Linked DNA regions of Drosophila melanogaster. The protein of the gene in region 4 interacts with the protein of the main gene of each other region in a pairwise test. Each region holds a gene or a part of one and is shown on either strand. Other genes may lie near its edges.

Region 1 (8,323 bases), about 10 Mb from region 4:
ATCAGCATCGCCAACAGCAGCAACATCGTTCAGCAAAGCTCGTACACAAACCACGCACAGCAAGAGCATGAAATGTCACGGCCATGAGTCCACCGTAGACACGCACCACCAGCACGAGCACCACCGCACCACAAGCAGCAGCAGCACCACCATCGCCGAGCCGCATCATCATCCTGGCTGCTGCCATCCATGCAAAACGGATCCGTTGCCTTGGCTGCAACAGCATTTAGTTTTGAACCAGATCCTCAGTAGTAGTAGTGCCACCGCCTGCCAGCCCACGTGTCACGTGCAACACTTGACGGTGGATGCTGATAGTATGGCAGCCACATCGGCAGATGCCACATCCTCCACTGCCTGCAGAGGTCCTGGCAGCAATGCTCTTAGCGCCAGCATCAAGCCAAAGTTGTACTTTGAGCAGCTGCTGCGTCGTGACGGTTGCCACAAGAAGCCGCGTCCGCCCGTCAAAGTGGACGTCAATGTGCGCCTGGTGCCCAAACAGCCCATGCCGAAGGTCACTCGGTCCCTGAACGAGACGTTCGTCAAGGAGGTGGACGAGGTGGCACAGGCGATGAACGAAACCTTTGTCAAGGAGACGTCGCCGGAGCTGGCTCGGATCGATGAGCAGCTGGCAGAGCTGGAGAGCAATCGAGAGCGCGAGGATCACGAGGATCACGAGGAGGTGGACGAGGAGACGGAGGAGCAGGAGCAGGCCACCAAGCTTTGATAACGTTATTCTAAGCCACAAGAATAGTATTAAGTTTTAGGTATATGCATAGGGATAATCCATTTGATTATATCAATTTATAAGAATATTTTCATTTCCTAATGAAACTATTTATAATTTAAAGCATCATTTACGTGCAATGAAGCGTAGTAAATTTAGATTATAGCACTAGTTCTTATTCTAGCAGCAAATTGTATTTATTTTTGCGAGCTTTTAGTTTGCCCTGATTTATGTTGACATATTTTCTGTTTTTGATGAACCACAGTCTGGAGAAGCAGCAGCTGAGAGCCACAAACGAGCAGCTAATGTCACGCCTTAGGCAAATCTGGGGCAAATACAAGGCACAACTGCCAGCGCACCAGGGATCCCCGGAGCTGAGCTCCGAGGACATGCGGGAGGAGCACCCAATAAAATCCGTGACGGTACCTAACAGTATTTAACTAATATCTTTTTCCCTCTTTCTTTCTTCCATCTGATTCTCTTTCTATCTTTCCGTATCTTGATCTGTTTCCCTACATTTAAACTTTCTTGAAGAGAGGAAATATCTGCTTTACAATCGAATCTAGAGTATCTGTCCAATCGAATGTTGAGTAATGAGGAGCATATGAGTAAATTAGATAGCTCACCACACGATTATACTAGCTTAGTACCCGGAAAAGGTAAATTCCCCAATTCCCGTCAATAACCAAGTAGAGCACCTCCATCCCATAGTCCCTAATTCTAAACTGATTTAACCACTCCATCAGAATCGGAAGCTGAAGTCAAGGAGGCGGATCTGCCCGATAAAGACCCTATTTAGAGCCTCGACTCACACGACGACTCCACCCACACACCTATAACACTTGATTGGCGATCCACTCTAATCAAAATTCTTGTACTCACACAGCCGCTTACGACTACCAGGCAGCGACATATGGCACCCCAATCGAACCCATACAAAGCACCCCACAACCACACAACAGCGCCAGCGACAGTGATTACACGTCCGGAGGGATTGGCTTGGGCGATGGAGCAACTGCATCCGCAACAGCAGCGGCAGCCACAGCAGCCAGCATTGCTGCAGGAGCAGCTGCAGCAGCAGGATCAGCAGGATCAGGATCGACAGCCCCTGGACGAAAGAGCAGCATCGCCGACTATGGACTCCAGGATAACGATGACGAGAATCTCAAGGACAACCTTGGCCTGGGCGAGAAGCAGCAGCAACAACAGCAACAGCAGGACGTGGACAGGCAAAGGGAGCGAGAGGAACGCGACCGGGAGCTCCAGCAACTCCGCGAGCAGCGCGAAAAACGGGAAAGGGAACGCGAGCGGGAGCGGGAACGGGAGCAGGCCGAGCAGCAGCAACAGGCGGAGCAGCAGCAGCTACAGTCGCAACCTGTGGCAGAGAGCAGCATTACCAATGCCGGCAGCGCCAATCTGGCCGCCTATAACACCGACTACAGTGCCTACGATCAGCAGCAGTACGACGCCAGTGCCTATGATCCCAATGCCTATGGCCAGCAGCAGTACGAGGGGCAGCAGTATGACTACGGCGATGCGGGAGCCGGATACGACTATGGAGCAGCTGACTATGGACAGTCTGGATACCAGTATGACGCCACGCCAGGAGGCACCGCAGCCGGCCAGTCACAGCCGCAGTCCCAGTACCAGGTACCAGCTGCCCCCCAGCGAATGGCCACGGACTACAACAGATCGCCACCGCCATTGGCAGCGGCGGCAACGGGCATCACGTCCCCGCCAGCAACAGGAGCGACCGGAGCAGCAGCAACACCTGCAGTTTCAACAGCAGGAGCAGCCGGAACAGGAGTATCCGGAACGGGCCGACCACAATCGCGCCCGGGCAGTGGAGCTGTGGGGTCAGCAGCTGCGGCTGGAGCAGTCGCCGGCGGAAAATCCGCTGTGCCACAACAGCCTGCCGCGTCAGCCGCCGGCAAAAAGTAGCTGGAGTCCCGACTGCGAGGATCGCCTGACGCTGGAGTGCTCCATCAGTAGTCCCAGCCTGATGCGCTCGTCCAACGATGAAACCTGCTCGGAATTGGCCGATCTCAGCGAGACCTTTGTGGTCCTGGCTGAAAATGGTTCGGGGGAGGAGAGCTTGTCCCCGGCCCAGACCACCATCATCACAGCCAGAAGGTCGAGTGCACCGGCCGTGGTCCAGCAGGCGGACATTGCCAACGAGACCGTCACCATCGAGCGCCATCTAGATGCCCATGAATAGGGGTCAGCACCGAGTTCTCCAGCAACAGTTTCTTCAATCAACGTACTTCTACTCATGTGTTCCATAATTAAACGAAGAAGGGAAATTCATGTTTTATAACTAATAAATCCATTTTAAATAAGTTGATTTTGTTATTTTATTTTCAACTAGCTAGTTCAAGAGATTCAAAGGTATAAAAATTATAGTGGGTAGAATCCATTTCGAGGGTGAGCTTAATGACTGCATAATACTAAAACGTCACACTCACTTTTCCTCCTTTCGCTCCTTCAAAATAAACGCTTTTGCCTCTTGCATAATTTCCGCCAGTAATAACTATTAATGTTAGAACTAATAAACAACTTCGTGATGTAAGTGCTCTGCGCCACGCAATCCTGTCAAAACAACCAAAATGATAGGCAGATGGGCATTGTTCATGTCCTGACTGACATCCTCGTCAATTGCCAGCGACAACTGGGCCAAGCACTCATAAAGTGGCAAAATAAAATGAACTTGACTTTGAGCTTGGAGGTTAGCCTTTTGCTGATTTCGATGAGGTAACAGTGCGACCGAATCGAATGTCAGTAATTTGACTGAGGTTGCGAGATGGGTGGTTGGAGTGATCTAGGAGCTGTCCGGATAGACGGTTCCTATCAGGCGCATACCGTTCCATTTCCATTCGTGGGAGACAATCGTGGCGGAGGCATGACCCAACTGGATGTGGCAGGGTTCCTCCTTCGCCGTGGCCAGGAAGCAGGCGGTGTACAGGGCCATGTCCAGTTCGGGCGAGATGCCCACAAAGAAGCCGTTGACTGGCTTATTGATGTTGTGAAACGTGTAGCGAACGCTGAGAACCATTTGGTTGTGCTGAGGAAATATAGCAATCCCCTTTTGTAAGGATCATCTGTTACATTTGTCTTTAAGCCTTACCTTTCCCATTTCCTTGTGGTTCAGCCAGCCCTTGTAGTCCACATTGCCACGTTGCTCCTGATCTGCAAAGTACAGCCAGTTATGCAAGCCCAGGACCTTCTGGTCCCGAATCTCCGCCATGAAGACGTGCTCGAAACTGGAACTGCCCACAATGCCACGACCTCTGGAGTAGGGAGTGAACCACAGCTCCTGCAGCAGACGCAGCTGATCGTCATATTCTACGCTCACAATATCTAGATGGTATTGGATAGGTATACTAGTCTGATTTATTTCATTTAAAGGTTACTCACCCTTGTGTACCAAAAAACGCATGGTCAGCTTCATCACACGCGTACCCATCACGGCCCTAAGGAAATCATATTGCTCCTGGACGTGCTCCGGCGTTGGATGCTCCTGCACAGCCACGTCCAACTCGTAGTTGTCAAAGAGCCTCATTAGCAGAGCGGTGGTGGAGTTAGCATCCCTGGCCAGCAGATCCTGGTGCAATTCAAAGAGGCTGGAAGATTTCAAGAAATATGAAATAATGTTTATTAGACAGCTTTAGTATTTAATGAATTAATAATTATTTTAATTAAATTGCCTTATCATCAAATTAAATATTTTAATGATAAAATTCATTAGGCGGCGCAACTAGGTACTTACTTTCTAGGGGCGCGATCGTCATGAGCACCTGAAGTGGTCTTCCCCTGGAGATTCACCTTGTAGAGGTATGGACTGACCTCGGTCTCCTCCGCGTACAGATTCTTCGAGAGGGTCAAGACGTCATCCGGCGTTTTGGGCAGCGGCTTGCTGTGGAAGTACTCTAAGAGAAAAAACCGTTGTCCGTTCGCTTACGGAAGAGAGCTTAAAGAGACAACTCACCGTAGAAGTGCCAGCTCAAAATGCCAATGGTGATCAGCAAGCCTACGATCACAAATCTCTTTAGCTTCTGGCATTTGGCGCTGTCGATGTTGCTAGTGCTGTTTGTTTGCTGCTGCACTGCGTCCATTGTGATATAATTATCCAATTAAGATTAGTCAAACATTTGTTTTTGCGCCTCTGTTTACTTTCCCGATGCTCGCCGTTTATCTTCAGCCAAAACTCTCGCGTTGATCGAGTTTTATCTGCTCTTTCCGACCAACTACCTTTATGGCTGAAACGATACTGAGCGGGTTTGCCCCACTGCGGATCTGGCCGCTCATATGCTTGCTGAACACACAAGTAGTTCCCCCGAAAAATTGGATAACACGCTCTCCCTCTCCAATTATTTTCGTTTTCGGCGCTCTCTGGGGGATCATTGTTGTGGTTTGTTTTCACCTCGCGAGCAGCCTTTTGTTTACTCAGGAGCGGATTCGTTGGGCCCCCATGCCAAATTTCAAGTTTGAGGACATAAATGACAATGTGCAGCATATGGTATAATTTATGCGGCCAGTCAAAGTAGGAAAACAATTAGTTTCCTAAAGAAATAAAGCTAAGCCAAACGAATATAAATAAAATGTAACTGAAAAACTAATATTCTGTTTTACCTTGGATAATCATTTATATTTTAATTCATTTTATAAAAAGGTTTACAATTGAATCAGTCTTTAAACGTGCATGAATGAAACCAATTATTCTTTTCCACAATACTTCTAGTATCTATAGATATTTAAAATTCAATTCATATTTTTGTGGGAACATATGGCACGTGGCAAGCCTACTAATTTTTGGTACTTAAGGAATTTCATCCAAAGTCTCTTTTAATTACTAACATCGTGTCTTGAATCTCTCATCTGGAAGTACTAAACAAATAATTTAATCACGCACTTACTAATTTGTTTGTTTCAGCGAATATAGCGTCATTTGTATTAAAGTCTCGACTGTAATATAATTACTTCCAAATTGGGCTTAAACCATACTGTGTTTAACAAAAAAAACTTCAACAGGAAACTGTGACGTGATTTGAAAAAAAAATTGACAATAAATTGTGAACAAAATATTGTATAATTGAACACCTATAATTGCAGTGCGAAATTTTCTTAGGGCTTGATTTTTTTTTAATATCAACAAGATTTTACTCTTATATTGTCTGGACTGCAGTTCCTACAATTAGTTGAAAATAGTCTTTAAAACGTAAATACAATTAAATACATTGTCGCCAAAGATGGAATGACGAAAACCACATTAACTTTCACAATCTAATACCAAGATATCCATCATGCTATATTTAAATTAACCTTGATCAATATATCAATATATCAATATATTCAAGGCACGGGAAAACAAATAGCTCGTCACGAAAGGTGTAATTTGTTTTCAGTTTGCTTTTGGATTGGATCCACCTGGTAGAAGAATTCAGTGTACTAAAGGAGAGCTTTACAAATATTGTAATTTGATACATTATGTTTTGGATTAGCATTTGATTTATTCTTCACAGTGAAGCGAATTGTTTGCTTTGTTACAATCATCTAATATTTTCGAATACAATGTTTGCCTTTTTTAAGCTTAGGTATAGGTAAATTTGATTATCAAGGTTAGTTCTTTATACTTAAAGTAATTATGTCTTGTAGTCTAGCCGAAAACTGGATTTTGCTGCTTCTTTTAATCTCCTGACTCCTAAAACTCCGAAGCTTCAAAATTCGGAGCGCGCGTTTTATTGATTAGCTCAGTTCTAATGTTGTGACAAGCAGTCTCAGACAATATTTACCAAATCTTACGAAATGAATTCACGAAATGAATTTCAAGAAATATGAAATAATGTTTATTAGACAGCTTTAGTATTTAATGAATTAATAATTATTTTAATTAAATTGCCTTATCATCAAATTAAATATTTTAATGATAAAATTCATTAGGCGGCGCAACTAGGTACTTACTTTCTAGGGGCGCGATCGTCATGAGCACCTGAAGTGGTCTTCCCCTGGAGATTCACCTTGTAGAGGTATGGACTGACCTCGGTCTCCTCCGCGTACAGATTCTTCGAGAGGGTCAAGACGTCATCCGGCGTTTTGGGCAGCGGCTTGCTGTGGAAGTACTCTAAGAGAAAAAACCGTTGTCCGTTCGCTTACGGAAGAGAGCTTAAAGAGACAACTCACCGTAGAAGTGCCAGCTCAAAATGCCAATGGTGATCAGCAAGCCTACGATCACAAATCTCTTTAGCTTCTGGCATTTGGCGCTGTCGATGTTGCTAGTGCTGTTTGTTTGCTGCTGCACTGCGTCCATTGTGATATAATTATCCAATTAAGATTAGTCAAACATTTGTTTTTGCGCCTCTGTTTACTTTCCCGATGCTCGCCGTTTATCTTCAGCCAAAACTCTCGCGTTGATCGAGTTTTATCTGCTCTTTCCGACCAACTACCTTTATGGCTGAAACGATACTGAGCGGGTTTGCCACACTGCGGATCTGGCCGCTCATATGCTTGCTGAACACACAAGTAGTTCCCCCGAAAAATTGGATAACACGCTCTCCCTCTCCAATTATTTTCGTTTTCGGCGCTCTCTGGGGGATCATTGTTGTGGTTTGTTTTCACCTCGCGAGCAGCCTTTTGTTTACTCAGGAGCGGATTCGTTGGGCCCCCATGCCAAATTTCAAGTTTGAGGACATAAATGACAATGTGCAGCATATGGTATAATTTATGCGGCCAGTCAAAGTAGGAAAACAATTAGTTTCCTAAAGAAATAAAGCTAAGCCAAACGAATATAAATAAAATGTAACTGAAAAACTAATATTCTGTTTTACCTTGGATAATCATTTATATTTTAATTCATTTTATAAAAAGGTTTACAATTGAATCAGTCTTTAAACGTGCATGAATGAAACCAATTATTCTTTTCCACAATACTTCTAGTACCTATAGATATTTAAAATTCAATTCATATTTTTGTGGGAACATATGGCACGTGGCAAGCCTACTAATTTTTGGTACTTAAGGAATTTCATCCAAAGTCTCTTTTAATTACTAACATCGTGTCTTGAATCTCTCATCTGGAAGTACTAAACAAATAATTTAATCACGCACTTACTAATTTGTTTGTTTCAGCGAATATAGCGTCATTTGTATTAAAGTCTCGACTGTAATATAATTACTTCCAAATTGGGCTTAAACCATACTGTGTTTAACAAAAAAAACTTCAACAGGAAACTGTGACGTGATTTGAAAAAAAATTGACAATAAATTGTGAACAAAATATTGTATAATTGAACACCTATAATTGCAGTGCGAAATTTTCTTAGGGCTTGATTTTTTTTTAATATCAACAAGATTTTACTCTTATATTGTCTGGACTGCAGTTCCTACAATTAGTTGAAAATAGTCTTTAAAACGTAAATAAAATTAAATACATTGTCGCCAAAGATGGAATGACGAAAACGACATTAACTTTCACAATCTAATACCAAGATATCCATCATGCTATATTTAAATTAACCTTGATCAATAATTATTCAAGGCACGGGAAAACAAATAGCTCGTCACGAAAGGTGTTATTTGTTTGCAGTTTGCTTTTGGATTGGATCC
Region 2 (8,477 bases), on a different chromosome or scaffold from region 4:
ATTTGCGATTTCCTATGAGGTCATAAGCCCTGCGACTCAGTTATGTTGGCCCAAAAGCTTTATCAACAGGTGTCAGCGCATATTCCACTCCATATTTCTTTGTTTTCGTTTGGGTTCTTTTCGCTTTTCTGCCTTCCGAAGGGGCGGCTAATTACATGGGCGTTGCTCGCCTAAATATATCAATTGTGTGGGCGTGTCCCAAGAAGATGACTCAACCGATTTGCTAATTCAACTTGTTTATCGTTAGTCACTCGAACTGAGCAGCTGCGTTCGAAGCAATAATTTAACAATTTCACGATCTTACGTGCAAACGAATCGTATTTATTTATGTATTGTACATTCATATAAACGTTGAATAAAAAATTCCTTGTAATTGTATTCCTAACAAAACAACGAAATGAATTTACATCGCTTCACTTGGAAAGTTTGAATTTAGTGAGGCCTGCCACTTATAATTTTAGCTTCTTAAAAATGGCAAATAATTGTACAACAATTTGAATACATCCGAATTTTTCGAGCTTATCAGCTAATTCTGGGAAAGAAAGAAGAGTCTTACTATATGGACGAAATGCCTTTCTAATATATCTTACCTTCTTAATCCAAACTCAATCTGAATCTGAATCTGTAAATAATATGTAAATGTTGATTACAAAATTTGATATGACCTGCCTTTTAACTGTTTCACACCAATCATACCATTGATGCGAAGATTACTTACCACTGCCACTGTTACAGTGACTGGCACTTGCTGTTTCCTCTAGCATGTTTAAATAATAGTTGTCGTTATGTGTGCGGATCACACCATCAACGATTAGCGTATCAAGGGCGTCATCAATTCGCCTTCCCATTTTCCAGAACTTCTTGTCTGTAGCTGTGCTCACCGCTTTTAGGATCACCTCCTTGGAGGCAAAGCCACCCATGGCGTCGATGCACTGGATCACCAGGTGGCTAATATTCGATTTTTTTTGCGACATTTGAATATCAAATTTGCTTCGTTTACAAAATAATTTAAACTTTCACTATTATGAATAAATTTTTGTTTAGTAATGTTCAATGTAGTTCTCTAAGCCTTCTGGGCTTACCAAAATCAAATCAACTAATTCATTCTGACAACAACCCACCTTCCAGTAAAAAGCATTCTATGTTTTAGTAAATTTAGTAAAGAATTTACACAACTGAAAAGTTTACATAAATTAAGCTTAGAGACTAATTCACAAAAAAAAAAAACGATCCCACACTGCAACCGCATCAAAATCTCATGCCGCCCAAGGCCAATCCAAGTGCTATGGTCACGGTGACGCCCACCGAGCTGCCGATGATTGCTCCGCCATTCTGGTAGCCATAGGTACCCGGGTAGTTGGGGTCCGGCCGTACGCCCATGTAGCCCGGCTGGCCGGGATGGCCCACCTGGTTGTTGTAGGAGAAGGGACGACCGTGCTCGTCCGTACCGCTCACGTAGTAGGCTCCATTGCCACCCGCTCCACCGTAGGTACCACGCGAATCGATGCCGGCGTATCCGTAGCTGAACTGCGGATCCTGGCCACTCAGACTTCCCGGCGGATGCATCCCGCCGGACTGGGCGCTCGAATAGACGCCAACGCCGGCCGCATTTCCATTGTTCCAGTGCACCGTTCCGGCCTGGGCATCCACTGGATTCAAATGAAATGTGCTTGAATTAGTAACGCATGTAAAAGGTAACTTTCCTTGACCACAATGTACCCGCCACTTCTCGTGGACCAAACATGCTACATGGTCGTTATCAAAATGAGACCTAATACTATTACACATTTTAAATCAAATAGTTTAAAAATTTTGCTTTCATATTTGGTTTCAAATAGAAGAGATCAATAATTTGCTGATAATATCGCAGTGCTTAATTCTCCATTAGAAGTTGAAATTGAATTTGTTTACTTGGCACCGTCGAAATGGTATCGTGTGTGCGAATGCGATGTGTTATTTTCCATGGAAAAGCCGCTGAGGTTTATACGTATGTTTATTTATCGTATTTTTTGTGCGATTTTTCATATGTTCTGTTAGCGTTTCACTCACCAGCACTAAAATGAACTAGTGCCAATCCGATAACAATGACGATCAGAATGCGATTGAAATTCGACATGTTTTCCGAATGCGCGTTTGACTTCAACTAAACCGCTTCCAAAGTGCCATTGACGGTTTTAAACTCGATTCCCAAGCTCGGCTCTCATGTTATGAGTAACAATAGCGATTTTCTGCTGCCCTGAGTCATATTATTTGGTGTTTATTTACTCAATTTGAATGGAGCTGTAGTTTCGGTGGGGTATGATCAAAATAGGCACTTTATTTAGCACTGAAATCGAAAATCGAAACAACAGATTAAACATCTTAAATCTTTTTGGGTAAAATATTACCACTAGGTATCATATAGTCGAATTGCACAAAAATTTTCTCTGTTACAAGTTTACAACCTGTATTTATCTCACTCTGTAATTAGATATGACTTGTGACTTGAGATTAACAAAATAGTTTCGGTTAGCTGCAGGTAATGGGTATCTTTTAGTCGACGCACTTTTCTCAATTAATTTGCGTCTGCTTTATTAAGGAATCCTCAAAATAAAATTTAGCTATACTAGTGGTATTAATTCTTCTTATTGTTCATATCCATTCATCGTTTATTTGTTCCACATGCAGATGAGATTATTTTCTTTTCGATCAAAGAACATAAAACCGCGGTCGTACTTTATTTTCCCAAACGAGAACACGCAACTTCAAGTGCTTTCATGTTCGAGTGTCGAGATGTTATTTTTTTTTTTTTTTTTGCTGTATAGAACACGATAATTGGTTGGGTCATTAATGATATGCACGACACGGGCCGGGGTCATTTTGGGTTAAGGTGTGCTCCCATGTTGGTTTGCCCCAGAAGTCGAGATACATACATACATACATATATGTACATAGATCTTCTGGCGAATGGGGAATGCCGAGTCACAGTGCTTTGATGATCGCCCGAATTGTATTCGAACCTTCGTTGATCTTTTATGACCAAGTATATTTTGCATACATATTTTTCTAAATATTAACATATGCATGTTGTATATGCATATAAATAAACAAATATATATATATATATATATATTTATATATGTGTGTATTGTTGTCCGTCCGTTTCGCACTTTTCAGGTGAGTGGCGTTCGGAGGCGGGCAAACAATGCAGGTACGTTGTGGCTACCGTTCGACGGAAAATACATACAAACATACATATACATATGTACATACATGTATGTAGAAAACGAAAAGCCTCACAATACAATTGGTGGGCATGTGCGAATTGTTTGCTTTCTCAGTTGTGACGTAAAGCAATTTAGGTCGGCCGATAGGGTTATGCTAATGGACTATTCAATACCTTATGCTTGTATTTTTACTGCTTTGCCGAAGATAGTGAAATTGAATAGTGACTTTGTCATTCGACTGACATGTTCATTGACGTTCATTATTCATAGCCATTGCTCGCACAGGATTCATTGTTTCTAGAAGCTGTATGCTGAATCTCAATCTTCTAGCTTTTATAGTACCTGAGATCTACGGATACGGACAGATACGGACAGACGGACATGGCTAGATCGACTTGGCTATTGATCTTGATCAAGAATATATATACTTTATATAGTTCGAAACGCTTCATTCTGCCTGTTACAATGCTTTTTTAACGAATCTAGTATAACCTTCTACTCTACGAGTAACTGGTATTCAAATTTAGCTGATTAATTGAGAATTACGAGAATCGTTAGCTTTGGATACTCGATTACGTGGGTTAAACCGATAGCTTGTTGAAGGGCACTGTGATTGTCTGGCAACTCGTTGCGCGAAGCGTTGCCACCGTTCAAACAGATCCTGCGCAGTGGACCACGTTCTCCGGCAATGGGTTCAACTCGCTCCCTCCTGCCACGCATTTCTCTCTCTGTTTGTGTGTGTTTTGCTCATCTAATACGTTTGTGTTATGGTTTTTCCATTTTCGAGGGAGTCCAACCACCCGACTCCCAGCGCCGAGTGAAATTTGGAGAGAAAAGGCTAGTTCGAGTGCGATTACCGCTGCTGCTGGTGCTGGAGCTGGCTGTCAGTGGCTCGAGTTGGCAGTGTTGGTGGATACCGTTGCCTTTTTGTGGCTCAGAGCGGTTTGTTTGACCGCGAGCGGAATGCAGATAAGCGCGTTTTAAATGAATCACTGAACGATCGAATGTTATACCCATCGAGGGTCGGCCAAACTTAATCGAAAGTGCACCAATAAACGGCAAAGGGTCGAGAAAAAGCGAGCGCAGGGAGCTGGAAAAGTTGCATTGCCTTCTTTCTAGCGCACAAAGAAAATGAGCGCAAAGGTAGGCCAAGAGCGCGCCTCTCTTTTGCTGAACGTGTGTGTGTGTGTGTGTGAGTGTGTCAGTGTGTGAGTGTGCTGTATGTGCAATCAGAAGTACCACCCCACCACACCACACCACTTCCAAACAGTCCGATTCAAAGTCATAATTTCATTTGCATTTGAATAAATGCATCCCAGGCACACCACCCTCTCACCACTCACACATCTAAGCTGCTCCGATTTTATGGTCCTTGGTATAGAGAAATTGTAAGGAAAGCTGCACAAATGAAGTAGCTACCATATGGTATACCAAATAGCCAGGATACTCGCAGCCAAATCGAGAAAGGAGGTGGCATAACGACAGATAATGACGAGTCGAGAGCACTCATTCTACCAGATTTCAACTCAGTGCAGCTCAAGTGAAATCCCATTGTGGTGGTGATTCGGTGAATCCCTGCAGTTATCATCTGTTGCCCTGCAAAAAAAATGGCATGAAGAGCCGTTTATGAACTCGGAGAATCCGAAGTAGCCATCATTGACTTTCACATGGGCTCCGTTCGGTTCATTAAAACTCCCTTGGATGGACGCTTTGGTAGAATAGTCGTAGTAAATGGTTGAGTGAAATATCCTTATTTCGAGCATAAGACTAAGGTATATAATAACTTAGTTAATCATTTTCAATGGGACCTAAAGTTGCATCATATTCAATCATGTTATGAACTTAATATATTTCCCATAAAAGTATTAAGACGTCAATTCCGTTGATTTGCCCATTAAGTCGAACCTTTCAATGGTTTTCTACCTCCTTGTTTTTCAATACATTAGCCGATTTGATTGGTGGCAAAAGGAGGGCTCGTTAGGCGTAACGCCATTTAATGCGTGTTTACATTCAACAGTCTGCTAAATGTCAGTTGGTGTGCAGCCTGTGTTTACATTGCGATGGAAAATCGTGGCGAGAAGCAGTCCAAACTGAGGGATACCTCTTGCTTAATGTGTTTTTAAATGTGGTTCTATGTGGCCCATCCATTTTCACGTGTATTATATACCTATTGTATACCTGCAATATCATATCGCCCCCATCCATCATATGTTATTTATATCGCTTGTTGTCCGACACCAGATTACGTTCGTAAATCTATATCGAAAGCTTAAAGATACCAATTTGTTGGCAAACAAGATCGAGTGCGAAATCATATCATATGGCGCCTTTCCGATCCCCGATCCCAAATCGACATTAGAATATTATTCGGCATACCGAAAATGGGTGGGTTGATATAGAAGATATATAGAAGTGCACATAAGCAAGGCCGAATCTTTTGGTGTATATTTGCATTGTGTTAATTGAATACATATGCCGCTCCTTTTCATTTTAATGCGCCCAGTATATCCATTTCGGCTACATCTTGGCACATATTGCCGCAGTAAACACGCACACAGCCGCCAGTCAATTAATTTGAGTACAATGCAAAACTATCCAATATAACGCGCCGTTGGCCCGTAGATGTTTTCTGCTTTCGGCGGGCATTGTTGAATTGGTTGGTCGCAGAACTCGGAACTCGCAGTCCCTGAGTTCCGAAGCTCTCCGGGCTCGACCGCCAGTGCCTTGCGAGCGGTCATGGGCTAAGCACAGATAGTATCGTTGCCGCGCTCTGTTTTCGTATAGCTCCTCCCGTCGAAGTTCCGAAAAATAAACACACTACCGCATACCGTGCTCTCCCCATACACAAAGATTAACCAAAATGTGGCTTTCCGACTGCCGTTCGGTATGTCCGTGCTTCAGCTCCTGTATCCCATTCACTTTTAGTTGGGCACCTTAGTTAGACATGGAATGCTGACAAGTGGTTGAGAATGGGTTTTGTTCATGTTCATGTTTCAGACTTCGCGATTTCTTTCGAATGGATATCTAGATAGCGAGTAAAAATAGTCCAAAGATTACGAGGAACTCTTAGTACAAAATTATACATATATTTCTCTTAAGTTGTTGTGCATTACCTTTTTCTATTTCTATATTTCCATATAGTTTGGGTAATTTGCAAATTGTTCCTATGATGAATGCACATTTTCTGAAAACCCAAGGCATATCGTAAACTTGGAATGCTCTGCTGACTGCTGAAGGGTTAACACTTTTGAGTACATAGAGCACCATATGAAAATGGGCAGCAGTGGGGGATGTGAGAGAAATGTAAAGCACAAGGCGTTGAGTGAGCGCTAAAGAACGCACGGTATCTATACAATCCGAGCGGAAAAGCTTCGGTCTACTTATCAGATGCCCTAGACCAAAACATGTGATAACAGATAGCAGCAACATATTTAGATTATTAGATACACGTTGGTAGGCAATTTGATGGGTTTGCAACAATTCGATTCTCATTCCAGATGACGCGCTACAAGCAGACCGAATTCACGGAGGACGACTCGAGTTCCATCGGCGGCATTCAATTGAACGAAGCGACCGGCCATACGGGCATGCAGATACGCTACCACACCGCCCGGGTATGTAAGAAACCTGTCGGGGTAACACCGTGCATCCGTGCAATGCAATTCAGTCGGATAGCCACTTAGTTGTCGTTGGGCTTCAGCTTTATCTTTGTGGCAATGACCCAGAAACGAGTGGCAAATGGGGCCAAAGTGAGCGCTTTTCTCATTTGCTCGAAGGTTGCCAGTTGACAGTGAAAAGTCTGCTCTTATGAGTGGGAGCGCGTTGGTGTGAGCTTTTCCCTCTGCGAACTGACATGAATACCCTATCTGGTGACAGGGTAACGATGGCTTTGAGAGGCGGTTCGTTGTTCAAATAAATTTAAACTTCATGTGATATTATTCCATAGATATACGAAAGCACTTGACCGTATACAACTGTATCAACAAAATGTCTAAAAGCAAGTTAAATTACTATAGAATTTAAACAGTGTGGTACAATATTTGTCTTTGGAGACTGCATTTCATGAGTCGTTGCGGCTTCTGAAAAGCCATTTATCTATATCTCAGCGATATATGGAAAAATTAGCAGGCAAGTGCCTTACGCTTACGAAATGTATCCCATGTAGATACCACCCCAATGTGTACAAGTTTGAACTCATTTGAACCGCCGTCGTCTTGTTTACAAAACACACAATTCGCTGGAAAAGATTTATGGGGCGAATCTTTTGTGCCGCCATGTGGAGGCCAGAATGATTGGTGGCTAATGCGGCGTTTTCATTTCACAGGCTACATGGAATTGGCGCTCGAGAAACAAGACGGAGAAATGGCTGCTCATCACGACTTTTGTGATGGCCATCACGATCTTTACGCTGCTCATCGTCCTTTTCACAGATGGAGGCAGCAGCGATGCGACCAAGCACGTCCTTCACGTCCAGCCGCACCAAAAAGGTATGGATTGGGTGAATGTAATCTAGGAATTTCCAAGGATACACAATCGTCTCCCTTTCAGATTGTCCTTCCGGCAATGAGCTTCCTTGCTTGAACAAGCACTGCATCTTCGCCTCGAGCGAGATCCTTAAATCGATCGATGTGACCGTGGATCCGTGCGATGACTTCTATGGATATTCCTGGTGCGTTAACTAAAAATTCAATTCAAATTGTTCAAGAGGAGTTCCAGTAACTATTTGCTTAAAATTGCAGCAATCAATGGATCAAGAACAACCCCATTCCCGAGGGGAAATCCACGTGGGGTACGTTCGGCAAGCTGGAGCAGATGAACCAGTTGATAATACGTAACGTACTGGAGAAGCCGGCAAAAAGCTTTAAGTCGGACGCGGAGCGGAAGGCTAAGGTTTACTATGAATCATGCCTGGATGCGGATGAGCACATGGAGAAGTTGGGGGCAAAGCCCATGAACGATCTACTGCTGCAGATCGGAGGATGGAACGTGACCAAGAGCGGCTACAACGTGGCCAACTGGACGATGGGACACACTCTAAAGATTCTTCATAACAAGTGAGTTAAGCAGGGTTTCTAATGGCGATTTATATATTGTAGCTGACATGCATTCATCTCTGCAGGTACAACTTCAACTGCCTGTTTGGCTGGGCGATCGGTGAGGATGACAAGAACTCCTCGCGTCACGTCATCCAGATCGATCAGGGCGGTCTGACGCTGCCCACCGCCGACTACTACAACAACAAGACGGACAATCACCGCAAGGTGCTCAACG
Region 3 (6,689 bases), on a different chromosome or scaffold from region 4:
CTGGAGTTGGTCCGAGTTTTTCGAGTGGTCCACATTCACAGAAGTCAAAACTCACCCAACAGGAAGTATTTGCATGTGCAGATCCCGGGATCCCGATCCAAACCAAACCAAACCGAACCGAGCCGATTCGCCAGCGCGTTCGCAGAAAGCGAAAGTAATCATCCACCGCAGCGGCCACCGGGTGGATTATTGTTTGGTTTTGCCCACGGGCACGCATGGTTAGAAGGGGCGCGGGTTGGTCGGGTGGCCGGGGGGGCGTGGCATGGAAGCTATGGCATATTTATCGCTCAGACAAATATCCATTATGCAATTTGGCATGGCTAAAACGAGCAATTTGCCGCAAATGCAATAACATCCCGGCGAACGGGGTGGGGAAAGCCGATGGTGCGGTGTTTTGGTGGTTCGATGGCTCGGTGGGGCAGGATGGCAGTGGTGCGCCCTCAAACGCAGTAAAAGCACACTGGCCTATATATACACATGAAAGCCGAGTGAGTGAAAGAAAAAAACAGCGAGTGATACTAATGGTTTAACCCGTTTGGAGCCACTTTTTATTAGGTTGAACTATAATACTCTGTTTATCTTGTTGCCAGACTAAAGATATAAAATCTTGTGGAGACTTAGTAGTGCATATATCACTTACCCCATTTTGATTATAGATTATATTTCTGAACGGAAGCTCCTTGTTCAGCCTTAAATGGGTTAAGCACGCCGCAAATTGAAGCTCTTGACAGTTGAGTTAACAGCACAGCACGGCAGCAACATGCAACATGCAACAACCAGTTGCAACAGCAGCTGACGTGGCCAGCGTTATGTCAGGGGCATTGTGGCATTGTAGAATGGGCAAAAACAATACAAATCCACACAAACACAATCAAAATGGAATTTCTTCAAAATCGTGTGATGCATTGCTTGATTAGCGCCACATCTACTGCTACTGTTAAGTAATTGCCCGAAATGCGTTTTATTGCAAATTTACGGCGTACGTGTTTCGTGCTCCATGCGTCGTGATGTGAGTTTCGCTGGGGATACATCCAAGACTGGACTCCTGTAGCTCCAACGCTGACCCACATCAATTGACACCAGCGACGACAGTTACCACTATTACCACAGAAGACATTCAAGGTCGATTGGTGGAGATGTCTTCCAAGCGATATGGAAGGGCCAAGAAATTTGGATTAGCGTGACAACTTTGTTTTGTCTCCGGCCGCACACGTTCACTTTTTGCGGCGGTCTACAGAAGGCCGCTAAGTGATCCAGTCAGCGGCGGTATATGTGCTACTTGGTCATGCATTCGGAATGATTTTAGCTCCACTCCGCGCTCTGTCTTGCGATTATGATTATGAAATGAACGTAATTTGCCCCGTATTACACAAAGCCCCGCCAAGTCAAAGTTCGATCGTCTGCCATTGTGGACAACTGAAGCATGGACCACCGCTCCCAGTCCCTCTTTACCACCGACCAGAGGGTCTTAACCCCTCGTAAACAGATGCCAACGACGGTTAATACAAATCACATATCACTACACCATGTTGGCCATGTTAACAGTCGCGCGTCCACTGTTATGCTTATTTTCGCTTGGCCGTTGAAGTTGCTGCTGCTGTTGTTGCTGCTGCTGCTGCTGCTGTTGTTGCTGCACCGACGTCACGTCTTTCTCGTGCAGCGCAGTCGGCTTGCAGCAACAACACAAAGCGCTGCTGGCGCCCGGTATAAAACGGATGAGTCGCAGCCTGTGGTTATCAGTCACCACCTGACAGTGCTCCGGTTTTAGTATCGCCTTTCGAGTGCAGCAGAGCTCAGCCCAGCCACCATGTCCGTCCTGAAAGTATTCGTAAGTGCGACAAGGATAACGTTCGAAAAAGTGTTAAGCCAAACCTCCGCGGAATGGAGCTGAAAAGGATTAAACTCATGTGGACTATCGTGAATAAAACTAACCAACTGAAACATAACAAACTCACTGAAAACTGACTTCGATAACCGAAGTATTGGAAATATACCACCAAGATCGCCTGATGGCTTAAAAAGTCTCGAATAGATATTTCAAGAAACTGCGAAAGCATTTATTTTGCAGAAATATAAATTCACCCAAAAATATTAGTTTATGTTTATCAATCGCGGACTAACATTTCATTAGATTACTTAGATTTCACCAGAATTGAACATAAATTTTGAAGTGCCAAATTAAAACTAATCACACTGATTAGTTAGCTATTTGCGTTAATCTAGCCGGACCTAACTTACTAACTTCCTTATCCCCTTTCAGATCTTCGTCGCCCTCTTCGCCGTGGCCTACTGCGCACCCAGTCCCGGCTTCTTTGGCAAACAGTGAGTATCGGCGGCGATCTGCACCTGAACTGATCCATAAATAACCCGAGCGAATCGATAAAAATACCCATTTCCCGCTTTATGCTAAGCTAACGAGCGGTCGCATGGCTTTTTAAACGCTGCGACTGCTCCGTGGGTCTATGAAATATGTGTCCGATTGCGATCGAATTGAGCAATCAAAACGCTTGTAGCACTTAGAGCCCCAGCCCCCTCCAGCAGTCTCTATATGGTGCCCACCACTGGCTACCATTGAACTTAGCCGATCTCGACTTGGCTTGGCTCGCGGCTTAGGAATTTCGCAGGCGGCGGTTGGCATTTAATTCAGCGTAATGCGCGCATAATTGTGCGAATCAATTGCCAATTGCCAATAGCCAATATGCAATAGCCATGTCTGCCAAGACGCTGGGTTCAAGCAACTGATTAGCTAACAGGCGATGGTACATGGCATTCGATCTAACCGATTTCACTTTCGATCCGCAGCGAGCACCACACCATCCACGTGCCCTACAAGGTGCACACGGTGCACCACCATCACGTTCAGAAGGTCCATGTGCCGGTGGTGAAGCACGTGCCGGTGCCCATTTACAAGGAGGTGCCCGTGCACCACGTCCACCACGAGGAGATCCCCGTGCCGGTGCACCACGTCCATCACGAGGAGATCCCGGTGCACCATGTCTTCGATGACCACCACGACCACCACGGCTGGAGCTCCCACCACGGACACGGCTGGCTGTAAGCCATCTGCCCGCTGGCCTGCTTGTCTTCAAACCCACCCACTCAGCCAGTCCCATCTGAAGCAGCCTGTAAATACTGTACAATGCTAAGTTAATGAATGTAAATAAATCACAATTCGACTGTACACAGAACAATCCTGGCGTATTTATGGCAGGATTCCCTGAAGTGGAACCTTAGTGTTTGATGGCTCACAAGTAATCTAATAAACCAAATACTTTTAATGGGAATGAAATAACGATTTTGTTATTTGAGGCTTTTTAAGTTGTTGCGATTAGGATAGATGGTTACTTTTGAAGACTCGAAACTTGCTTATCTCTATATTTATATACTATATAAGATGGTAGAATATAACCTACTTGTTAAGTAATATTTTTCAAAAGATTTTTGTTATCAGTGACAGAACTTGTACACATAAAATAAAAACCCCATATACTCAGATACTCAAATACTAATACCCTGATAGCAAATAGCCACAAATAGACACACTACCACATTTGCACCATGATATATCTACAGAGTTGCTGCTGCTGCGTGGATCTGCGAATCGGAACCATAGCAATAGGGATTTTGCACATTATAGCGGATATCCTTGGAGGCACATTTGTTGCTTTATTTGGGGAGTCGGGTAAGTGAAGCAGGATACTTGAGAGCAAGGATATGATCCTAACACCCATAGGTATTCCCGATTTGGGTCACACCCTATTCATTATCTTCGTTATGCTGCACATCCTGAGCTGCGTTTTCCTGATCATCGGCAGTATACGGGTGAGATACCAGTACAATTGATTAGTTTCAAATTATAATACTTATGATTTGATCTAGTTACGGAGCAGCTGGATGCTCTTCTACATAATAATGACTATGATCATGGCGGTAGCAATGCTCATATTGATAGTATCCGACGTCATACTCGCCGTTTGTTTCTGGGTAATGATCACGTATGCTATAATGTTCTGTAAGTAGCTAAGTGTATCTAAGATTTCACAATCCCTTAATTTTTCCCCATTGCTTCAGTTATTTGCCTTTATTCCTGGCTAGTGGCGTACTCTTTTTACGCCGCCTTAGGAGGACCTCTCTTCATCTGAATGTGATCCATTGCCAAGTAATAAATTGTACTGTGATTGTAGCAATAAAGTACTTGAATTTTTACAAATCGATCTGCATTTTAAGTGGAATAATCATCGTAGAGTACCGAAATAACTATATCTCATCTCATTTGGTTCAATCGTTTTGGATTCCAAGAATTCGAATATTCCTTTTCATGCAATAAGTTTCCCATAATCACTTCCCATTACATTTGTTTGTAAAATTACTTTCGTGAGTTGCACTTTTTTCACACACTGCCAAAAAAGAGCAAAAAAAATGGGGCAATGCTATATTGATTATAAATAAAGCAATGATTGCACGCATATTTCAGGTGAATTGGTCGGGAATGTGATAGGTTCGATTGGATCATTGCTCCATTAGTTAATCCCACTGCAAGACTGTAATTTGCAGTTGCACTTGACCTTGGGCCGGTCTCCCAAAGGCGGCAATTAAGCCGAAGTTTTGCAAGAACGACTTTCACAAAGCACTCACTTGACCAGCTCCGACTGAGGTCGACCGCCAGTCCGCGTCCGCTCCGCTCCGATCTCTCCCTTCCTACGATCTCCACGAACCCGATCCGATCCGATCCGGTCCGGTCCGTCCACTCCGCTCCTTGCCCAAGTACTTACTGTGCTGCAAGTCAGGGGCGTGGCAGGGCACATTCTCGGGGCATGAGCTCTCTTGGTTCCTAGTTCAGCACGCTTTTCAGCTAGAACTGGTCCTAGGGCAGTGGAAATGTTTAATTAAGTATATACCTTTTACACTTTCGGAACTCTTATCAATTTAACTTGAGAATTTGGGATATTTCCGTCATATAATTCAAGCTTAAAGTAGCAGGATCATTCCTTTCTGTAAATCAAGTTTCATGGAGCAGGATCTTAACAGTCTTCTTTCATACCTCATTTAGCGCACTTGACTGAATGAGTTTCTGATTGTAGACAGTTCAAATTACTTTATTTAATTATAAATGCTTACTTTGGTCAATTAATCTTTTCTTCATTAGTAAGAGTTCTATGAACCAACCAACAATTACATTTTGTAATATAGTAAGAAGTTGTAGTTGCGAATAGAACGATTTGTATACCCCCATGTATCTGCAGCTATCAACCATAGAAAGTCCCATTTCTTTGACCAACATTTTGCATTTATTTCGGCGCCAACAACAAAGAATTTCAGATTAATGTCCACTAATTGAGAACTGGGGAAAGGCGAAGCGTTAAAGGAAGCTGCGGCTGGCCGCAAGTGAGCCCTAGGCCGCCCTAGTTGCAGTACGGGAAGTTGGGGCACTGGTGCGGCGAAACTCCGGCGGGATACAGACGCTCCGTCCAGCCAGGTAGAGGAGGAGCTGCCACGGGAGCACCAGCGTGTCCGGCGTTCACGTCGCAGTAGGGATAGTTGGGGCAGGTCTGCGGATTGACGCCAGCTGGATACTTATCGCCACCGGGTGCGGCAGCAGGGGCTGCGTTCCACGAGGGCTGTGCCTGCCACTGTGGCTGCGGCTGGGGGTTCCACTGGGGTTGAGGTTGCTGCCACTGTGGCTGCGGGTTCCACTGTGGCTGCGGCTGGGGGTTCCACTGTGGCTGCGGGGCACCCCACTGCGGCTGCGGATTGTGCAGGCGCGCATTATCACAGATGGGGAAGTTGGGGCAGTCCTGCGGATTCACGCCAGCCGGATACTGGGCAGCAGGTTGGTGTTGTGGCTTGGCCACCGCCAGGGCCACGAAGGTAGCGAAAAGCTTTGAAAAGATTTTAAAAAAATATGGAATTTTTAAATGTAATAAGATACATCTGTAGTTTGAAAAATATCTGGAACTTAGGATCCTCGGATCTTAAGAACTTCAACTAAAATGTTGCAGATTTGGATTCCAGCTCCACTTAGTAGTTAAAGGAACTTTTTCAGACGCTATCCTTGTGGGCAGAAACTTGGCTCAAAGGGCACTTACCAGCTTGCAGAACATGTTGGCTGAGGTGAGTGGGTGGTTGGTAGTTGTGGAGTTGGTTCTGGTGTGGGGCTTATGGTAATCCTTGCCGAATTGGACTATGGAGTCGTAGCTCAAACTTCCAATTGGGTTCCTGGTCGGCGCTGCACTGCTGCTGCCGAGCCCGGCCATCAAGCTTATATAGCGGTGCTGGCTAGAACCGACTCTTGGCCGGGTCTCAATCTCAGCCAGAGTCTCTCGGCCAGACTCGGTTTCACTTTCATTACTGCGGCTGCTGTGCTTGTTGCTTTTGCTATTGCTGCTGCTGCAGTGGCTTTGCTTTACTTTTGCTTTTGTTTCTGTAGTTGACTGATCTCGCGCATATTTTACTTGATTGGCCCAACAGATTATTATGAGTCTTTGTTGTGGAGCGCGGACAAATAAATCGAACGGGGCCGACGGACAGATAGATATGTACAGACATACTCGTGCATACATACGGGTAATATGCTTAAACACCCAACTATGCAAACACATACGAGTGCGCACTCCCCTATCGAGTTACCGACAACATGCCGTCATTAGCAATGAACTAAGCCCCCAACTTGCATTTCGGCCAAAAAGAAA
Region 4 (8,466 bases):
CGCAGCATTTCAACTGAAACAGATCAGGAAAGTTCGCATAAATCGTTTTTCCGACGACGTGGTGGGTATGTCCAAGTACTTACATTCTTTTGCAGCGTATCAAAGGTGACGGTGCGCGAACTCATCGTGGACTGGCCGTACTCCTCCTGGACTGACGACTTGACAGCCGCCCGCACGATGTCATCCAGCTTGTCTTTGTTGTGGAAGGCCCATGCTCCGGCTGCAATTTGTGCCACCATCACGATGAGTATGACACAGAAGAACTGCAAGAGAATTTCAGATTTATGAATGACGGAGTCCGGCCCGTGGGCGTTGAGTAAATAAACTGGTTGCGATTTAAGACAGATATGTTTGCACTCGCAATAAGGAACTCCAATTAAGTGCAACTTTTGTTTTCTTTACATCATTTATATGTATAAGATATACTTTCTGTTATATATATTTAATAAGTACTTTAAATGGCAATACTATTGGATAAATTTTCTGTATTCACAGTCCAATTTAGTTAGGTATAAAATTATTTTGGCAAGTGCATCGTTTTGCCAAACTGCCAAGACATTGTGGGCGAACCTCCGTTGCAATCATATGAGCGGAACCGTGTGGGCCACACATTTGCATGCATTTTAATTGGAATTCCCAGACACTGGTTATGATATTACTTTTCACTTACCGAAACCAGCAGACATTGCGACTCACGACAGACTCCGCAACAGCCAAAGAATGCGCCCAATGTGATCAGTATGCCGATGGCGAGGAAAACATACAGGGCTATGTGATAATGATTGTAGTTCTGTGTCATCGACAGCATAAATGTGGGATCCGTCAGCATCCAAACGGAGGTCACCACGATGGTCAGTCCGATGAGCTGCAAGCGAAAAGAATACAAAATATAGTAGAGCATTACCTATTTTTACACATTTTCGCTGTAATTCTCAAATTGTTGCATCCATCTCACGCTGGGCACACGCGTCAATGACGCCATCTGGCGGCAAGGCGGCAATTAAAGTGGGAGACTGCCCCGCCCAGTTTCGCCTTGCTTTAAACTTCTATAGTTTCATACATATGATGTCAGCTTAGTTGGACGCAGACTATATACATAGCAACTGCTGTTGCGCTTCTTTTAATTTAATTAAAGGCAGTAAACAGAAACCAAGTACAAATTACAATTTTCCCCATTCCATTCAATTTGTTAAAAAAAAAATCAGTAATTCTATCCAGTATACAGATTCAAAGGCAGCTTTTTGAGCTCCGAACTTTCAAAACCCGATAAGAAAAGGCCCATTAAGTTTGAAAATCAATGATGCGATAAAATTTGGTTTAAAGTTAAATTTTGGCCTTCATCGCCAAGACATACTGTATGTATATACATATAGAAGTGGCAAGACATTGATCCCAAGCGAGAATATGAGAATTGCGAGCTCGTGTTATCTCACTTCTCGGGTTATCAGCAAACGAAATATGAACTTTTCTTTGGATTTCCGCTAAAAGAATTCCGGTAATGTATTTCTTCTTAAATTTTCCTACCCAGATATTAAACACTAAACTTGCTATTGCCAATCCATCCACCAGAAAAATGTTGTTCCGCTCGTGCAATGAGTAAGAGAATCTAATATAGAGGTAATGACTTAATGGGTTGGTCGAGGTGTCTATGCAAGTTCATTAATTATTCAGCAAAATTATTCATCGCAGGGAAATTGAGTGTGCGATGAGAGCTAATCAAGAGATGTAAACAAGTGCACATATTACATGGGAAATATGTAAATTTAGAACCACTTAAGAACCGATGGCTAACTGAGAAGCATTTCCAAATACAAAACACTTCTTATCTCGTATTTTTTCTCAGCCCGCAAGCTTTTGTAATTGCCAAGAGCATCAGTGCTTTCCGATAAGATTACGCAGTGGATCTCGCAATAAGCAAATATCTATTTAACTTAAAGATACAGCAAAATATAAGATACAGTTTTTGGCGCCCAGGAAAAACGGATGAAAAAGCATGAGGAAGTCTCGTAAATTTCATGAAAATCTTATGAAATATAAGAGAAGCGGAGACCGGCTTTTATGTGGGTGGTCCACGAAAGAGAGAGCTGCCATAAAGTGAGCGAGACAAAAAGTGTGCCACAAAGTGCACGATATGCTGGCCCTAAAGTTCATGAATGTGCATGTGTGCAGCTAACGGAAAAACTACTCATGGAAACGTAATACAATGTTGCCCCATTCGAGGGCAGTTTATTGAGTAAGTACATTGTAACCAGAAGCCCTTGTTTGCATAGATTTTACTTATTTTTCCAGGTCAGGTTTTCGGGTATGGATCAGTAACATAATCTTGAATTTGTTCATGTGTTGAATTAAAAAAAAAAATGTTTCTGAAGAAGAGGTTTATTCCTAGAGCTCTTATAAAGTATGTGTATGTATATACTACTTTGGATAAACCTCAATTCCCTTATCCTTTTAGGGAACAAAAGTTGACCTCGTTTTGAATCAGTCCCATTATCCCTGAACGAACTGAATCCACGCCTTGTTTGTAGCTCTGTTTGTTGGAATTTTTACGATTCCCCGAACGTTTTCACACACATATATTTTTACACATCTGACACTATGTCGCGTGTCCAGGACAAACAAACAAAAATCCTGCCGAATGGGCCAATAAATGTACAGAGTCCTTCGTTGACCCAGTTTTCAGAGCCGAGGCGTCGAAAGCGGAAAACGAGAGAGCATTTTACTGCTGCTAAATTGCAAAAAAAAAAATAAAATGGGGCCAAAAGGCAGCTGGGCTTGCATTGCATGTCCAGTCACAGTTTTGTCCCACAATTAACCGCATCGATGGCAAATCGCAGCCAACAGCCATCATGCATCAGCCATAAGCTGAAAATACAAACTGAAAAATGAATGAAGCGCCACTCATGAATAATTGAGTGAAAAATAGCACAGCGAATTAAGTATGTAGATGTGACATGTCACAGCGAATTGAAAATAGATACAGGCCAGCTTCGTTACTTGGAGAAATATTTTTAAATATTATTTTATTCACAGCAAAAGATTACATTTTTTTCAGGAATTTAAGAATTCTGCACTATGGAAGTCTGACTGTGCTGAAATAAATGGTTTTTTTAGTGGGTGGACAGGATAGGATTGTCAGATGGTCGACCGAATATTTGGAAATCTTTCAGTTTTGGTCACTGTCAACTTCAATGACGACAGCGCCGGCCGTTTAGCATTTTAGACGCTTATGGCATAGGCCTCCCCCAGCATCTTGGATGTGGGATATCGGCCCCATTGGAGCGTCAGCGTCCTCAGAGATCGTGGCGTTTGATCACGATGCCCCACGGCGACGATGAAAATGGAAATGTTTGGAAATCGATGCACAGTGGAGAGCGAGATTCAAAACTAATCGGACAGTGGTCATTTTTTGCGAAGTTATATAAAAATACTATTATTAAATTTATTATGGCTTTGTGGGGTAATTGATAACATGCCCTGGCTAAGAATAGCCTCAAAACAATGTATAAAAAGTCTTATATAAAATAATATCTGACGCACTTTCATCCATAAATCGCTCTAAAAATAGTTCAAACGATTAGTGAAACGAACTGCATCACAAACACATCACAATTTCTATCGCTCATTGTTCCTCCACTGAAATCAAACACACCACTGTGCATCCAACAACAACAACGATGAATACTAAAACATCACAGATCAAGGAACATTACACAGAAACCAATTATTGGATATAATCTTATTGGGATCGGTTAATTTTAATTTTTTTTACATGACATATATACAATAAACGAAAAATAATTGAAAGGTATTCGAAAGTTTCCAAACACGAAACTTGGCTAGGCATCAGTATTTTCTTTCTGTGTACAACAACGAAAAACTGAACGGACGCGTAAGTTTGTGTTGTTCCTCGCCCGTATTCGAAAATAGCTTTTGACTAATAAATACTATAGACAGAAATCGAAAAAAGGCAGCAACAATCAACAAACGAACGAAAAAAAAATTAGAAATCAGCCCGCATAAGAATCAAAATTTTAAATTTGTTGCCCAAAGGAAAAGCGAAACTGATTTCGCAAGCCGCGGAAGACAAGAGGAAACCCCAAGAAAAACTCAAGGAAACTCAAAACAAACGCAAACAATCGCTGTGGCAGATAGTAATTGAATGGAAACAATTGAAAGCCTAACGAGGCTATGTTGAAAGTCGAAAATTGCGTAAAACAACAAGCAGATAAGTTGGCCAAAGAAAGTAAAACCCTTTTTTTTGGGGTGAGGAGAGGTCCTTTTTTACCGAATTAAGCCAACCGAAGTTTGTAAAAATATCAACGGCACGTATACGTTATAAAAATAATAAAACAAAAAAAGAGAGACAGGAAGAGACAGAAGCAAAAGAAAAACAACTGAACAAACATGTGGAGGGAAAAGAAAACAGTGGGAGGTGGGAATGGAGATGCTTAAATGTTTATCTGTCTGTGTGTGTGTGTGTCCCCTCCCACAACGGAACTTCTATTGTTTTTATGCGGGAGTACGAGCAGAGCGGTAGGGAGTGCGAGCGGGAGATGGAGAGATACAGTGATGTCGCTTTTAAAAGCCAGTTGAAGTTTTGAAGTTATAAATGGTAGAAAATAATTTAAAGTCAAATAGTTCATAACAAACAAAACCGATTTGTTTAATTTCAAAAAGAAAAACCCTTCTATTAATGTTTTTAATTAACCGCGTACTTGAATATTTATATAATCTTGTCCATTTAATGTTTTTAAGCCCGCTCATTAAAAAAAAAATATTTAAGTTAATATATTATTATATTTATTTTATTATTTATTTATTTATATTTTTTACTTCCTTTTCGATTAAATATTTCAAGCCGTACTTAAATAAGTTTCAACTTATGTTTTGGGCACCTCTGGGATCGAGAGAGTGGAAAGAGGGACTGAAAGAGCGGTAGGACTCCAAAGAGCGTGCGCACGGCTCCTCCCTCCGCCCGCGCGCCAAGCGTGAGAAAGAGGGGCGTAGGGAATACACAACACACACACATTCGCTCACGCAACACCCACACACACGCGCGCGAAAAGGAGGTCCGTGTGTTCCAGTTGTTGTTGTGATGGGAGAGAACCGAATCTCGCATTGTTGTTGTTGCTGCTGCTGCTGGAATCTACATACCCAGAATAAAATGTTTATAAGGACCATCAGATATTTGACGCACGAACAGCAGCCGTTGAGACCCATGGCGCGGATTGATATTCTTAAATAGGTAACTCCTTAAAAAGTAGCTGCAATTTAACTGGTTTTTCAACCACTTGGAGATGCTCTTTTTCCAAGGAACCCCGAACTGCAGTGTCGCCTGCACTTTTCGACCTTTTGCACTTTTTCAAAACACCCGCTCGATTGTACTATATTTTTCAAATTTTTTTAAAATTTCCCGTGCTAAAATCCACCGATTTGAGCCACTGTTTGCGCGATTGGCCGTTGCACCCGATTTGTTTTAAAAATTTTATTTGTGCATCGAGGCGTCCGTCCAACGTAAAATTCTTGTATCAGTGCGACCATTAGCTCGGCCGTTCAAATATACCAGCGGGTATAGAAAGGCTAAAAACCGAAAAGTGGTGACCCTTAGAAGATACCAAAGAAGTGGTTGAATAACTTTGATGAGGCTTAGCATGGCTTGCAACCTGCTTGGATTTGCAGCCTATACGCAAACCAAAGTGGCCTATCGATATTTTGGATAAGTTCTATTGCCAATTTTCCCAATAAAATAAAAACTTCACTTGAATGTTAAAAGTAATTTAGTTTCAGTGTTTACATAATGTTCAAATAACCTTTTGATTGTTATTATGAAAGTTAAAAATTAAAAATTTAGATATTCTAACTAACTATTATCCCCAATGTTTCAGCTATAATCACCATATTTAAAGTAGATTTCATTTTAAAGTATAAATTTGTGGTTGTTTACATTATTTTAACATGTCTATTTAATTATTACTATGAAAGTGGGTAATTGAAAATTAGGATATTCCAGGTTTTTGATTTACTTTGGCTATGATTTTCCCAAAATATTTAAATCTGTAAATGTAAACAGTTTGAAATGTGACCTTAATAGTTCATGCTTTGTTCATTCTTCTGCGAAACGGTCACACTGTTCGCGCAGGCGAAAATGGCCTAAAGCGTGAAATGTTTAATTCGTTGTTGTTTCTCCTCCGCAATAGTTACTAATAGAAACAAATGCAAAATGGCTGTCTAACGTTTAAGTGCAGCGACCGCCGAAGATCGTGGAAATATGCATGAAAAGCGGCTCGCAGGCAAATGAAAGGCGCGTGAAAATGTAGCAGACACCTTTTTATCGCGAAAACGAACATCGGTGCAAAGGGAAAAACAAAAACCAAGGAAAATACAGCCAAACGCGAATGTGAATGTGAAGGCAAAGTAAGCGAAAAGTCCCCCAACTTTTTTGGGGAGTATCGAGTGCACCACATACGTTTTTCAATATATATTTCGATTGCATTGAAATCAGAAACATGACAATTTCCCCCCTTCCCTTATTGCTGTTGTTGTTGTTGTCGGCTTGTTGCAAGTTTGTGTGAGTGTGTCTTGTAATTTTGTTACGCAGTGGAGCGAAGTTGGAGTTTTGTGGAATGGAAATGGAATGAAGTGGAACGAAGTGGAGTGTAACCAAACACGAAATGGAAAAACGAGGAAAAAACCTTAAAGCGCAGCCTAAGCTTTAGTCGTACTGAAAATTTCTCAAGCGCTGCAAGCCAGTCTTTGCCAAAGTAAAGCCCCTACCTCCCCCCCCCTCTTTTTGCATAATAAACGAAAAACGTTGCGCCCACTTTACGCACTTGTTTTTATGCTTTCCGCGTTCAGTGCACTTAAAAACTTAATTGGTTCCCCCGTCGGCGGTGCTAATGTAGCGCATTTCACTGTTTTCAACGTAAATATAATTATATTAGCAAACGTTTACAAGCAAGATTGGATTAGTAATATGTAGTAGCTTGCTAGAAATCCTAATAAAAATGTGAATAATAATATATACGGTTTCATTTAATATTTTGAAAAGTTTTAATAGAAAAAAGTACAGCTTTTCTAAAAGCTACCCTTATATTGTGTTTCTTTCTCACGAAATAAACTACTGTGTAGAAGGTAGCGGTAAATATTTATGTTTAAAGTCCACTCTCTTCTATGTTAGAGGTATACCCCTCGCCCCTTGGCCACTGCGAATGCTGTATCTTCGCCAATTTCACTTTCACATTCGTCGTGGGCAGTTACAGCGAAGCCAATTGCTTGGTACTTCTTTTATTTTGTTTTTGTTCCCCACTTTGGGGCGTTTCAAATTAGAAAGTGTTTGCGTGTGTGTGTGCGCATATGTAAGTTTATGCGTGAGTGATGCGAGCGGCGTTTTCTCAATGATTTTGGCTAATTATGTAGCTCATTTTCGATAACCGCTTTAAACTGTGAAAATTGTGTCAACTTTGGATACTGTAACTTTACACCCGCCACATAATTTCATTTTAATTAGCGCTCGTTAACAGTTTTCCATCTCCCCTCTCCATTTTGTCGCCCTCTTGAAATTGCAATGTGTGGGAAACTTAATTTGTTGCATCTAGGAGGTGAAAGAGGGAGATAGAAACTGTGGGAGACGAGAAAAATTAAATGAACAACACTAATTCAAATGCAAAATGAAATGTACAGACACAGATACAGTTGTGTAACAATTGTTAATTAATTAACAGAAACTTTTAAACTCAATTTTTGAAAGACATGAATATTGAATTCTATATCAGGATTATTTAAAGCACTAAGCAAAGCGTAGTTAAAATGGATTAAACCTGTTTTCAAATATAAAATGAGAAGAAATGTGGGTTATTTGGGCTCAAACAAGTTTTAATTAACCTGTAAAAATACGTGACATTTTGTATATTTCTTGATTTCGGAGCTTTAAAGAATCCCTATAAATTTGGCCATCGCTTCATTTATACATTATTACATACATATGTACATATGTACGAATTTCAATCATTTACATTCCGCACACAAACATGAAAAGAGACACCAATACACATGCACCTACATTTGCCAACAGTCAACATAAATTAGTGCGAGCAACGGCACTTGGCAACATGCAACAATAGCAACAAAAGCGACATGATTGAAGCAACAACAACACCGACCAAGGAAGTTGCCAACTGTCCCGCTTTGTCTCTCTTATTGTCATTCGCAACTATCCCGCTCTGTCTCCCTATTGTCATTAGCGAGTTAGCAGAGCGCCGCTCTAATAACAGCGCCTTTACATTTCCATTTGCCAAGTGCAACAACCCTGCGTGGGTGTATGAGTGCGTTGTGTGTGTGAAAATACTATAGAATTGGTGGCAATAACAATGGAAAACTGGCATCGTGGAAAACTGGGTAACGCTTTTATAATTTATTCCAATTTTAACTGCTTTTTACGGCCTTCTTCTTGTCTGTTAATTGTTGTTA

The links.
Region 1: the proteins of Tsp96F (region 4) and EndoU interact in a two-hybrid assay, tested with the Drosophila melanogaster proteins (one large-scale study listed by BioGRID).
Region 2: the proteins of Tsp96F (region 4) and Nep3 interact in a two-hybrid assay, tested with the Drosophila melanogaster proteins (one large-scale study listed by BioGRID).
Region 3: the proteins of Tsp96F (region 4) and CG43183 interact in a two-hybrid assay, tested with the Drosophila melanogaster proteins (one large-scale study listed by BioGRID).

What each region holds. Positions count from the first base shown.
Region 1 is NT_033777.3:15,905,106-15,913,428, reverse strand, and holds EndoU (endoribonuclease U-specific), read right to left. Parts: upstream 5,032-8,323; 5' UTR 4,837-5,031; coding exon 4,710-4,836; intron 4,651-4,709; coding exon 4,491-4,650; intron 4,345-4,490; coding exon 4,139-4,344; intron 4,082-4,138; coding exon 3,849-4,081; intron 3,786-3,848; coding exon 3,543-3,785; 3' UTR 3,062-3,542; downstream 1-3,061. Other genes in the region: CG45105 (uncharacterized protein), read left to right, coding at 1,259-1,383, 1,611-2,374, 2,466-2,942. UniProt on the Drosophila melanogaster protein: Endoribonuclease that cleaves single-stranded RNAs at uridylates and releases products that have 2'-3'-cyclic phosphate termini. Preferentially cleaves single stranded RNA at poly-U sites with CU, UC and AU sites cleaved less efficiently.
Region 2 is NC_004354.4:19,957,252-19,965,728, forward strand, and holds the start of Nep3 (neprilysin 3), read left to right. Parts: upstream 1-4,045; 5' UTR 4,046-4,349; intron 4,350-4,437; exon of another isoform or gene 4,438-4,594; intron 4,595-5,924; exon of another isoform or gene 5,925-6,090; intron 6,091-6,703; coding exon 6,704-6,820; intron 6,821-7,530; coding exon 7,531-7,693; intron 7,694-7,754; coding exon 7,755-7,875; intron 7,876-7,945; coding exon 7,946-8,260; intron 8,261-8,325; coding exon 8,326-8,477. Other genes in the region: CG43784 (uncharacterized protein), read right to left, coding at 606-622, 719-974; CG12655 (uncharacterized protein), read right to left, coding at 1,249-1,649, 2,050-2,116. UniProt on the Drosophila melanogaster protein: Metalloendoprotease which is required in the dorsal paired medial neurons for the proper formation of long-term (LTM) and middle-term memories (MTM).
Region 3 is NT_033778.4:8,588,763-8,595,451, forward strand, and holds CG43183 (uncharacterized protein), read left to right. Parts: upstream 1-3,432; 5' UTR 3,433-3,558; coding exon 3,559-3,682; intron 3,683-3,733; coding exon 3,734-3,822; intron 3,823-3,879; coding exon 3,880-4,012; intron 4,013-4,071; coding exon 4,072-4,142; 3' UTR 4,143-4,207; downstream 4,208-6,689. Other genes in the region: CG14752 (uncharacterized protein), read left to right, coding at 1,808-1,828, 2,261-2,322, 2,803-3,058; CG8736 (uncharacterized protein), read right to left, coding at 5,403-5,879, 6,087-6,101.
Region 4 is NT_033777.3:25,875,862-25,884,327, forward strand, and holds the start of Tsp96F (tetraspanin 96F), read right to left. Parts: upstream 5,567-8,466; 5' UTR 5,221-5,566; coding exon 5,155-5,220; intron 866-5,154; coding exon 671-865; intron 264-670; coding exon 84-263; intron 14-83; coding exon 1-13.